Linked DNA regions of Oryzias latipes. The protein of the gene in region 2 purifies or fractionates together with the protein of the main gene of each other region. This does not show direct contact. Links are inferred from orthologs where the notes say so. Each region holds a gene or a part of one and is shown on either strand. Other genes may lie near its edges.

Region 1 (4,364 bases), on a different chromosome or scaffold from region 2:
GTTGGGAACAGGACCAGAGTTCAAACTCCCACCTGGGGTGGAGATGGAGGAGGATGTGGAGGACAGCTGGTGCTCAGCTGTAGGAGCTCCAGCTGCCATTCCAGTCCCAGGAGGCACCTCTGCATTTGGGTTGGAAATGGAGATGAAGGAGGAAGGGGTGGTAAAAGAATCAAAAAAATCAGAGGCTGGATTGACCTGCCCGTTGTCAGTGAAGAATTTACTGAGACTAGGGCTTGGCTGACACATTAGTGGAATGTTCTGCTTATGAGGGGTCGCTGTGTCCTCATTGGCTCCATCGCTTCCCATGCTAAAACTGGGGGATTTGATCAGGGTGGGTTTGAAGCCATCAGCCACCAGTGACTTAGGCTGTGCACTCTGGCTGAAGATTGTACACACCGGCACAGGCTGGTCTTTTGATTCTGTCTCCTGGGGTGACTGAGATTCTGGTTCCTCACATCCACTAACATACAAACTCTCATTGTCACTTTGCGGTGAAACAATGTCTTTGGATTCCTCTGGTGTATTCATCTGCTCTGTTGGGCCCTCTTCTGAACATATGTTGTTCTGCTGCTCCACAAAAATCTTTGTATCAGTTGTCCCCTGTATCATCTCAGCCTCTTTCCCTTCATCCTTTTCAGTTGCTCTCTCATCTTCCCCTCTATCCAGAAATGAGTCGATGGGAGCCACATCCTCTTCCTCGCTGTTGTTAGGTGAATCAGAAATCATGACGCTTTCCATCATTTGGTCGTTCAACCTGTCCATCAGGCTCTCTGAGGGGGTGGCGCTGCTGTCCTCGTGGGGTGTCGCAAACTCTGCTCCTCCCAGATCAATGCTGTCCTCCAGGGCCAGAATGTTGTCCTTGAAGGGGGCCAAGCTGCCGGGTGCTGCCGGCTCTGAAGATGAGGCTGCAGGGTCGGCATCGTCTGTGATGTCCAACGTGTCAGGCCTCTGGGAAGGAGCTTCCCTTGCATCCATCTTACTGTTCCTAAAAGGTTAAACACATCAGAAATCACCAGGTGAGTTCAACCAGTCATGATGATGTACAAAACCCAAATTGTGACTACTTCCTGTCACCTCCGCTTGTTCGGAGACACTAATTATATTCAAAGTACTTCATTTGCGCTTAAAGTAATCTCAATAAGTCTCCATTTAAGGTAGACAGATCTGTCTGATGCTGTGTATGTTGCTGCGTACTAGCCGTTTGGCTACCGGAAGCTCATCAATCGGCTAAGCTCCAGCTCTCGAGGTCCGTTCGGGTTCTACCACGGACAGCAGAATAGATGTATAACATTTTCAGAAAGCAAAAACGTACAAACGTGTCAAAACAATGTTAAAAAATGCCCCAAAAGAGACAATTACGATCATGCTTCCTACCTTACTATCGACTGACAGATAGGCTTACAGTGCGCATGCGTCACCCGAGGAAATCCTTAGTAAGGTTCCCTAGAAAGGACAAACTTAGTGAACAGGACTGCTTTGACATTCCCGAAACCACCATACGTAAAAAGAGCAGAGAGCTCGAGCTCTTAAAACCGTAGTGACGTATGTTCACGTTACGCTTGAATCTTTAGTTACGCATCACTTCGCGGAAGTGCTGCTGTTTTTAATGAGAAGCACGGGGTGGAAATAAAGCATTTTAGCAGCTTTTTTATTCTCGGTGAAAAAGTGTTTTTGTTGCAACAGCAAACTGAAGGATGGAAGACGACGCCCCTGTCATTTACGGGCTGGAATTTCAGGTAAACATACCCACTAAACCATCATTCATTACTATTCGGACCAAGAAACTATTCTATTCTATTCTATTCTATTCTATTCTATTCTATTCTATTCTATTCTATTCTATTCTATTCTATTGTCGTTTTTCCTCCTGTTACAGGCGCGTGCGCTGACAGCCCAAACAGCTGAGACTGATGCCATTCGGTTTCTGGTGGGAACCCAGTCCCTAAAGTTTGATAACCAGGTGAGCAGCACTCAGCAGGTGTCCTTCAGATTATAACGCTGCTTCCTGTCAGGCTTGTCTCTTTTAAATGGACAGTTTTATGGGACATGCACTTGTGGGACAAGCACCAGTCCAGAGCAGTCTGGAGGTTTCACCCATGATGAAAAATTTTCCAAATCTTAACTGGTGATGTGAAACATGCTGCAGACTCACTGACTTGTTTGGCGGTACACCTGTTTGGCGGTACACCTGTTTGGCGGTACACCTGTTTGGCGGTACACCTGTGGGCTCTGCTGCAGTGGTCAGTGGGCGTTTTTCTACTACTAGAAAGTTTGTTTGCCACCATTGCCTGATGTAAGCAGATTTATTTGGCTGGGAGGAATTGGTACAGTAACCAAAACACAAACTTCCTTTCTACAAGTTATATGTGGTGAGGACTTCTTAGTTTTAATTTTCTTACTTAATAAAAAGTCAGATTTTCCGTCTTGCACAGATCTCAGAGATTCAAAGATGTGAGTTTTACGACAGAAGATCAGATCGATAGAATGTATTTAACAAATCCAATCCAGATGTCAAAAGTTTACCGTCTGAGTAGTAGTTAGAATGAGAATTTCACTCCAACGGCACTGTTTTCTTTAAGCTTGCTGTTCTTTATTTGAAATGGACAGAATTTAAGGATTGAGTTAGGTTGTCAGATATGTAGTTTTTTCAGTTGTTTCTAGCTTTCAGTGTTTAGAGAATTCAACTATCCTGTCCTTATATCCATTTTAAAGTTGCCTCTCACCACAAAACCTTGATCTTTCTGTTTGTGTCTGAAAATATAGTTGTGGTGGTCCTACTTTTTTTTCTCCACAAAATAGAATAAAAACATTTTATATTTTTTCCTCCTTGTATTTATCAATTTTAATATTTTACTGGTTTCATATTTTTCCCTCCTTTACAGATCCCTTCACGTGTATTCAACATTCTGATACGCTTCTTGTTATCAAACCTGATATTAATATTTAGTTTGATATCCTAGCCATTGTTGGCACCCCATTTCAATCTAGGTTTTAGCGGTTCTCCAAAGTCCCATTCCAATCATCGTTTGATTCATTTTCAAAATGTTCCCAGTTGTCTTTTTATGATGATGATGCCATCTTTAGCCAGGATAAAAAAAAAAAACTGTCGTTTTCTAGGACATAGTTTCTGCAGAGTGCCAGGAGTTCATTAGAAATTCACTTCTGAGTTGTGGGCTGTACTTTTGCCGCGGAGTAAGCCAGCCCTTATTTCCCATCATTCCTTTGTTTACACTTTGACCCACTAGCTTACAGCCCCTCACACCCCCAACCTAACAAAATGCAGTATCGCAGCTCACCAGCCGCACAGTTTGGATCCAGATTCTTGGCCTCTCCAACGTGAATCAGAAGGTCGCTGCAGAGTTTTGGACCAGCTGCAGCAAAAGTGTGGTCCCCTCTAAGTTTGTACGGTACTTTTAGAAGCAGCTGATCTAAGAGGTCAGGAGGAGACATAAGGCTGCATCAGCTCAGAGAGGTAAACCAGTGCCGAGGCATGGAAGGATTCAAAAACCAATAAACGAATTCTAAAAGGAACAATGTCAATCATGGATGATTGAAGCTGAAACGGGGGACATGTGACCATATTTTCACCTCCTAGTTAGGAGACGAGCAAAGCTGCATTTTGCACTGATGCACTAAAACACATTTTGCTTGGTGTGTATTACTATCATCATTTCCCAATTTGTATAGTTAATCCAACAATTATTTAATGGATAATGGACACCACAAACGGTATTATCCTGCTTATACCATGGTCATTTATGAAAGAAACAAATATTAAATAAAATAATAGTGCTTTAATCCAGTTGTTTTTTTTAACCTTTGAATCATTTTCACAAGATGTGGACCAATTGTTATGCAGTTGTCATGGTAACGGCTACCGAGCCTTCATGATAGTTGATCCAAAGCATCATTTCAGAGAGAAGGTTTACCTTTTTATTCCTTGTTTTTGTCCAGATGATGAAGCAAAAGTTTGTTTCAAAGAAACAAAGTCCACAAGTATTTTCCTAGATCACCTTTATTCACTCTTAACTCTGACCATTAAATCACTCATAGATCCTCAATACTGTATCAAGCACCAAGGTAAGCAATACAGAAAGACAATAAGAGAGGACCACATGCAACAAACTGTTTAAAATGAAAGGCAACATTGCCATTGATGGTAATTAATTCTGACACGTCCATCATAGAGACATTTGAAGGACACAGATCTCTTCTACTGTCTTCCTGTTGTAATAAACTGTAGAATAACATCTGTCCACCTATCTTCCAATCTTCAGCCCGGTTCAATAATATAAAACATTCAGGCTTGTATGACCTGAATTTCCTTTTTTGGTGCCCATTATCTTTCTAATTGAGACTCTGCA
Region 2 (3,650 bases):
TTAACTTTGTTGGCAGCATAGTCGCAGAGCTCCAAATGGATCATGGCACATGGATTTCTATGATAAACTAAAGTAGGGAAGAGTGATACATCAGGGCCAGTATCGGTATGGACTGATTTTTACATAACTGATTGAGATTTTGTCAGAAGGAATCTACTGATATTCTTCAGACACTTTAGTTTGTGAAATGTGTACTTGTTCCTAATAGATTTGGACGCTTATGTTTACAGTCATAGTCAGTAATTGACTGTTTTCAGGTAAACGTTATTTTTATTTTGGACACATGTTGTTCCTAAAAGATCCCTGGCAACTGGGAGTCTACAGTTTACAGTTATGCCGAATATTCAATGAATGATCTGAATGCTTATAGATATATTTATAGTAAAGTGTTAAACTGATACTTGTTACTATGAGATCCTTTGCTGTATATTAAAAAGGTAAAATATAAGAAACAAAAAAGAAATCTAAACTTTGTGTTGCTGTAGACACTTAAGTATCAGTATCAGCAAATATCAGGTGAAATACTGGTATCTGTCCTAAACCTAAGTCTTATGGCATCACCATAAAGGGCAGCATTGATGAATGTAGCCATCTTGTAATGTGGATGGAGGCTTTCATAGCCAGCTTTATTCTCGAAAAAGCGTATTTTTCCTTTTGGATATTTAGACATTTTTCTTATTATTTTACACGTTTATTCTCATAGATTTTTGACTTTTTTTCTCATATATTAATGTATTTTTCTCTTGCATGGTGGCCCTAATACTCTGTTATACTTTTCTTTGGGAGATTTTTGCTTCCACTTTCATTTGAATTCAGTGTCTTGACATTTTCTCCAAGGGAAAAATCTGATCGCTCTTTTCGTATTTTTCCAGTATGAGTCAGATGAGCTGGAGAAGAGCGTGTATCAGGAATACGACAGCGACAGCGACGTCCCTGAGGAGCTCAAGCAGGATTATGTTGACGAGCAGACAGGTGACGCCCCTCTGAAGAGGTCAGTACTAACTCAAGCTGTCACAGAATGACATTTATTAAATTCGGGCCTTGTCAGATCATCTATGTTCAGAAGATACAGTGAGCATAGACGTATTTGTTAGATGACAGAGGTTTGTAATGGTCATCATGATACACTTCAGCTATGGGAGACAGATTGTAAAATAAAAAGTCCTGAAAATCAAATTGTTTGATTTTTAAAGAATTTATTAAGAGAACTAGGCAGAAATTAATTATTTGGCTTCTCGTCTTTTGAGTGGGCCAATTTGCAGAATCTTTCATTCATTCATCTTCTAAACCCGTTTTGTCCTTTTCGGAGTCACGAGGCTGCTGGAGCCTAACCCGGCCATTTGTGGGCTAAGGTCGCCAAAGGTCGTGGACAGGTCGCCAGTCTGTCGCAGGGCCACAAATCACACACCCAAATTCATACCTAACGGCAATTTAGAGTAACCAATTCACCTATGACGCATGTTTTTGTACGGAAGCTGGAGTTTTTGGAGAAAACCCACGCATGCACGGAGAGAACATGCAAACTCCACACAGAAAGGTCCCCTCGCAAGAGCGCTAACCACTGCGCTACCCTGTCAAATGAAGCTGGAGCTAGGGAATGCTAGCTTTAGGGTCTGACCGGCCCGGTTGAAGCGGCCTCGATCGCTGACGAGCTGTCTAGGGTGTATGCCGCCTTCGCCCAGCAGTAACAGGGCCAGCCAACAGCAACCCGCACGGCCCCACCGAGTTAAAAAACGGATGGAAGTTCAGGAAGAAAACGCTTGCATCAAGCAGCCACGTGTGATTTATTTTTCTACCCTTCGATGGAGTCACTGATAACGCCACGTGCCCAAATCTGAGTTTCTTGCCGTGCTGCGGCCGATGCCCAGATCACGCTGTAGAACCTTAGATCATGTCAGTACATTGAATTTACATCAAAACCTGACGCCCCTGATGCACAAAGTGTGTTTTGTGTTAATGCAGCATTAGTCAGACTCTTCATTTTTAACCCTTATGTGGTGTTCGGGTCTGTGGGACCCGTTTTCATTTTTTATCAAAAGAAAAATTATACAATTAATTAATTTTTCAAACTCAGACTCACTGGCCTTGGCTCATTTTCTGTGAAGAACATATATCAGAATACATTTTTAATGACCACACACCGTATACCCCCCCAACACATTTATATTACATATAAGATGTTCGGGTCCACTGGACCCAGGGCTAATAGAAGTGTGGGAATTGATGTTTTATGTACCTACACTCTGTCCTCCACCTGTCTGGGCCTGCTGTGTGTGTGTGGGTGTGTGTAAGTGTGTCTGTGTGTGTGTGACCAGTGAGAAAGAGAGAGAGAGAGTGGCAGAGAGAGAAATTTTCACTGTAAATGTGAGTTCTGTTTCTGCACCTGCGGTTCCCGCGCAAGGTTGCAACATTGTTAGAATAATTCAAGAATCAACTCTGTTTGCTCTCGTTCTCCCGCACATTTGACATTTAACCATTTGACTTTCTTGCGGGAATCTTTAATATTTCGCTCTTTATCTGCTACAAATTGGAGGCGGGACACGTTAAATATAGCTTTGCCAGTGTGGTTTCTTATCACAACTGATCAAAATGGCCAAAAAGCTTTCTGCGCAGAGGGCCCTGGAATTGATTTTAGAAGAGAGTGACGTTTTTGATGATGATGTAGAGGGAGACGATTCAGAAGAGGAGGTTTCAGAATTAGAGGATCACATTTCTGAAAATTCAGAGTCTGACAGTGACTCTGAAGAAGATGATTAGATTGGGGCGGCTGTGGAGCAGCGGTTGGGTGGTTGGCCCATGATCGTAAGATTGCAGGTTCAATTCCCGCCTTGCACGCCCATGAGTCGAAGTGTCCTTGGGCAAGACACTGAACCCCACCTTGCCTCTGGTGGTAGGCGGGCGCCTGTGTTTGGCAGCGGAGCCGCCACCAGTGTCTGAATGTGTGAGTGAATGTGTGTGACTGGGTGAATGGGTCTGTGATTGTAAAGGGTTTTGTCCTTGTTGGAAGAAAGGCGCTATATAAGTATACGCCATTTACCATTTACCATTTAGATTGAGCATCAGCCAGTTCCAAAACGAAGCCATCAGCACCCAGCCGTCAGCAGCCAGGACCATGTGTTGTATAGGCTAGTGGCTAGAAGGCCATGTGTTCAATGGGGCTGATGTGTTGTCTGGACTAATAGGTTTACTCTATGTGTTCAGCTTGTGTTGTGCACCTGAATGGGTTCAGTTTCTGTGTTCAAATAAATAAAAGTCAGTAGTTTTGAAAACCCTTGCTTCACTTGAAAATTTGTTTCCACTCATATCTTGACTTTAATTGATTTTCTTTATCACGTTTTAAATAATGAGTTATGAATGTGATCTAACAAAGGTAAAGGGCAAAAATTAACCAAATATACTGATTGTAAATGGATAAGGTAAACATCTGTCGAGTATTTTAACATCAAAGTGTTTGATTGTGAGGCATTAAAAACCACAACATGCAACGGGTCCACCAGACCCACGAACACTGGCTGAGTAACAACAATATGAACACCACACAAGGGTTAAATCCCATGGTTAAATACTACTAGTCATTCCTCCGACACACTTGATGCATCACCTTCCAGTCACTCTATATAACTTAGAGGTGATAATGATTGATTATTAAA
Region 3 (4,215 bases), about 6.8 Mb from region 2:
TGCACAGACCTACAGAAGGGTTGCTGCAAACACGTGCAACCATTAGCAACACTTAACCTTGCATGCGCTTAAAATATGTGCAGGCAAGGCAGCAATGTGCATCTTCATGATTTACCATCCGCTTTTGCGTTTGGTTGCAAATCAAGACATTCGAATTACAGCCATTTTTCTTGTTGTATCCCCAAAACACTGTTGCTTAAATCAAACACTCATTTACAAACAACTTAGAGAATTCATTGCCGCCTTACCTCCTCCTCCGTTAGCTCTCCAGCTCTCTTGTTGAGGTCAATGTCAGCCTTCCTCAGGACAACATGGGCGTAACGTCTGCCAACACCCTGTAACCAGATAGACAATAACGTTTACTTTTTTGTATTTTCTGCAGATACATGAATAGTCCCACAATCAGATTACCTTGATGGCGGTGATGGCGAAGGCGATTTTCCTCCTACCATCGATGTTCGTGTTGAGTACACGAAGAATATGCTGGAATTTCTCGGGGATTACCAGAGACTATTAACAAAAAACAAAAACAAAAGTTGAACATGTGAGATCCTTCAAATGATCCTCATTCTGTACCAACATCAGAGAAATTTATAAGTGATGCTCTACTATAACTGAAACTATGCATACACAAAACATTCTAATGGCTCAATATTGCTTGGTAGCATAAAAAACACTTGTACCTTACAGTAATTTGATCAGATACTTTTGTATGGTTCTGTATGTATGGTAAGCTAATACATGAGCTTGAAGACACAAGTTGCCTAAACGGTGGCTTTGCAGGGCCAAAACAAAGCAGTTGTTAAACACAAAGGGAACAGTGTTTGTATTATCTTGTACAGATCACATTAGCTAGAAAATATCATGCAATCCCAACACCTAGTATCACGGCTAAATTAGCCTACAAACATGATCGCACAAGCAGTTTCAATTAAGAAAAAACTCGCAACCAAATTGGGGAGACAGTTTAAAAATACTTAGGTTGTATTGGAAATGTTGCGAGTATTTAAAACTTTAATTTGAGCAACATCAGAATTTTAACATAGGAAATGCTAGCCGGTTAGAGTCCGTCGGCGCTCACATTTTCAATCGCTTTTCCTACAAAACATCTTCATGATTGTGTAGCCAATATTCTATTCTATAGCTTCGCTGTCGAATAAATGTTTGAAAACACCGATGATTTAAGGACAGAATTTGCGAATAAAGCTGGATTACTCTAGATTTCAAGACTGTTTCACAGTGCCAGAAAATGTTTCATACCATCTTGGATGTCGGTTCCGTGCAAAGAGGAAGTCGTGGAGTTCTCGCGAGAGGTTGAGGTGGTTGGAAACGGAAGTTGGTCCGCGGTGTTTAACTTGTCCGGCAGGGACTTGATTGTTTTTTTAAAATAAAAAATATGGACACGAAAATGATTCACTTTGATCAAATAGACTTCATAAAAATAAAAGTTCTTGCCTATTTGCCTGATAGATTTATATGTGACATTTCTTTTTATCATGCCTAAAAAAATGCTGCAGTAACTAACTGGGTGGAACGTTTTTTTTCCTTTATCTACACAATTTGCCAATATGGCGGCGGAAGCGGCAGCAAACATAGGAGCGATATCGGATGTAAACACATCAGGAAATCCAACAGAAATAGCAATGTCGTATCTCCAAAACGAGGTGACATTTACTGATTTTAGAAGTCTAGTGTCTGTCTGTGTGGGGGGGGGGGGATATTTGTCTGATTGCCCTGTTAGCATATTTGGAAACTAATTGAATTGTTGGCAGACAAGTCAAGAACTGTCTAATTCCTTAAAACGTATTTGCAGAGTACAACATTTCAGATAAACGTGTGATATAAAAGGTCAATTTGAACCAGTCTGGATCTGTTGTTTTAAGTCTACCCTCTCTTCTTGTTTGCCGCAATGAACAATTTCCTGAATACGTAGCATCACTAGTCTCTGATCACGTCCATTAAGGCTTAGTTGTTGTCAAACAAAACTGACTTTCTCTTTCAGTCAGTTTTTATTCATAGTTTGTTTGTTAAGCAGGGGTCTACGTCTCATCAGGATGTATATATATTTTTTTATTACTTTGTGTCTTTTTCTCAGAAGACTGATGGAGACTTCCCAACTCTTAACCTTGGGGAGTTGGATCTCACCACAGACGAGTTCATCTTAGATGAAGTCGACGGTAAGAAACAACTGCTACAATTCTACAGGTGTAACGAATAATCGATGAATAGATTTGTATTTCAAGGATCAAACCAGATTGATCAGCCTGAGGAAGGAATGCAATTAAAAAATCGTTGCGAAATTAGATGAATCAGTAATCAAATTGAAATGGGAACATATGGACTGAGACAGGGTAGGTTTAATCTACTATAACATGACCAAGTGCATTACAGCGTACAATACACACGTGTGATAGCATCCAAATATAATAAATCCATCATTCCAGTCCAATGTGTGGAAACACTTTGAACTGATCAAAGACATACAGTGTGCTAGAATGTTCTAATAATGTTTGGATTATGTTGATGTGGAAAAATAACAGTGGGCTGAACTTTAGGAAACTAAAAATGTCAATAGATTTAGCATTAATTCTTAATATTTATTCTACAGTAGATTATGTTGCAAAAAATAAAATGAATGTGGAAAACTTTCCCTGAACTGTTCCGGACCCAAATATTTATCTCTGAGTCACACTGGTGGAATTTTTGGGTAAAGATGCTCTGGATTTATTTTAGGTCAATGAACCAAAATGGAATCTTAACCACAGATATTGAATCACTGTTAAAATGAATTGTTACTCCCCTGTTATATTCTTTGAACTTATAGTCAAAGTGGAATGCAGAATCCGTCATTGCTTTTCAGTGTCACTGTTTGAAAACTGTTTTTTTGTAATAAATCAGTGGTTTTTTTCTGTTTTTCAGTTCATATTCAGGCCAATCTGGAGGATGATCTTGTGAAGGAGGCGCTCAAAACGGTAAAACATGGAGCTCAGTTGTTTAAGACAACCAATTCATTCATGTGTCATACGAGGAATAGATTTTTTTAAACTAAATGTATCAAAGAGCAGATTTTCTCCACGTCCAGACATTAGCCTCTGTTAACAATTATTTATTAGTATTTTTATCTCTCCAGGCTTTGACACTCAGTTTATTTCAAGCAACAGCTTTAAATCATCCGAACAATGAGATCCTTTTGTTGTTCTTTGAAAATCTCTAGAAGTAAAGGTTTATTTTGCCTTTTTAGTTTACTTTAAACCTCAATACCTCTTAATAGAAGAACAACAATGGCTGTGATGAATTTAGTTAGTCATATGAATGTTGTGTTTAATGTTAAACTGCTGACTTTCTGTCTGCCGGTCAATTGTCCTTCGTTTTAGGGGGTTGATCTGCGTCAGTATTCCAAACAAGTGGAGACGGAGCTGCAGAGGATTGAGCAGGCATCTATTAAAGACTGTATCCTTCAATATTTGTTAAAAAATGACCTGAAATGAGAACACGCCAAACTATTATTCTGCTAGTTTTCTTCTTTCTTTAACTTTGCTGAATTAATATACAGCTAATTTCTTTTTTAAATCTGGTATTACAGATGGCTTTGTGTGTTTTTGATTGGTTTCAATATCTTATAAACATAGATCAGAATAAAGACGGAGTGTCGATCGAACTTTTTGTAACCGGTAACATTTAATTTTTTGTCTTTTTAGGGAAAACTTAAATAGGAAATCTAAGTTTATATATACATTTTTAATCCATTGCAGTATGAAAGGTTTAATCCATTAAAATGAAAAGATGAAGCCAGTAAATGTTTCACAAAGGTTTTATTTATGGAAATGTTCTGTACAGTTTTCCTGATTATCTGTCTTCCAGACATTAAGGAGAGTCAGAACATTGCTCTCCTGCATAACCAGATCACTGCCTGTGACTCCATACTGGAGGTAAGAAAAGATCTCAGACCTGCTGCTGTCTTTGAGAAAACTGCTCCCGGACACTCGATGCAAGCTTTGGTTTAGCTTAACAAACTGGATATGTGTGAGAAGAAGATTATGAATGCAAAAAAAAAACAACATTTCTTTTGCTTCTCAAATGTTCCAGGTAGATATATTAATAGGAACAATTAAACAACAACTATAGTTGTGGCTTCTAGAAATGAGTAAAGGACAGAAAGATTCACTCATTCATTTGTAAATCTATTTAAGGTACATCTACACACAGTTTTATTCA

Evidence for each region. Proteins that work in one complex are often made in the same cells at the same time.
Region 1: the proteins of vps50 (region 2) and eipr1 purify together in Homo sapiens (affinity purification with mass spectrometry; 4 studies listed by BioGRID and IntAct, counting the BioPlex papers as one, with this or other methods). This does not show direct contact. The link is inferred for Oryzias latipes from reciprocal best matches to the Homo sapiens genes VPS50 and EIPR1.
Region 3: the proteins of vps50 (region 2) and vps52 purify together in Homo sapiens (affinity purification with mass spectrometry; 4 studies listed by BioGRID and IntAct, counting the BioPlex papers as one, with this or other methods). This does not show direct contact. The link is inferred for Oryzias latipes from reciprocal best matches to the Homo sapiens genes VPS50 and VPS52.

Annotation. Positions count from the first base shown.
Region 1 is NC_019880.2:20,755,649-20,760,012, reverse strand, and holds the start of eipr1 (EARP-interacting protein), read left to right. Parts: upstream 1-1,559; 5' UTR 1,560-1,694; coding exon 1,695-1,736; intron 1,737-1,876; coding exon 1,877-1,960; intron 1,961-4,364. Other genes in the region: trappc12 (trafficking protein particle complex subunit 12), read right to left, coding at 1-975. UniProt on the Homo sapiens protein: Acts as a component of endosomal retrieval machinery that is involved in protein transport from early endosomes to either recycling endosomes or the trans-Golgi network.
Region 2 is NC_019869.2:10,068,551-10,072,200, forward strand, and holds part of vps50 (syndetin), read left to right. Parts: intron 1-872; coding exon 873-991; intron 992-3,650.
Region 3 is NC_019869.2:3,226,667-3,230,881, reverse strand, and holds the start of vps52 (vacuolar protein sorting-associated protein 52 homolog), read left to right. Parts: upstream 1-1,410; 5' UTR 1,411-1,568; coding exon 1,569-1,664; intron 1,665-2,095; coding exon 2,096-2,177; intron 2,178-2,919; coding exon 2,920-2,972; intron 2,973-3,374; coding exon 3,375-3,450; intron 3,451-3,861; coding exon 3,862-3,929; intron 3,930-4,215. Other genes in the region: rps18 (40S ribosomal protein S18), read right to left, coding at 249-335, 412-510, 1,261-1,263. UniProt on the Homo sapiens protein: Acts as a component of the GARP complex that is involved in retrograde transport from early and late endosomes to the trans-Golgi network (TGN).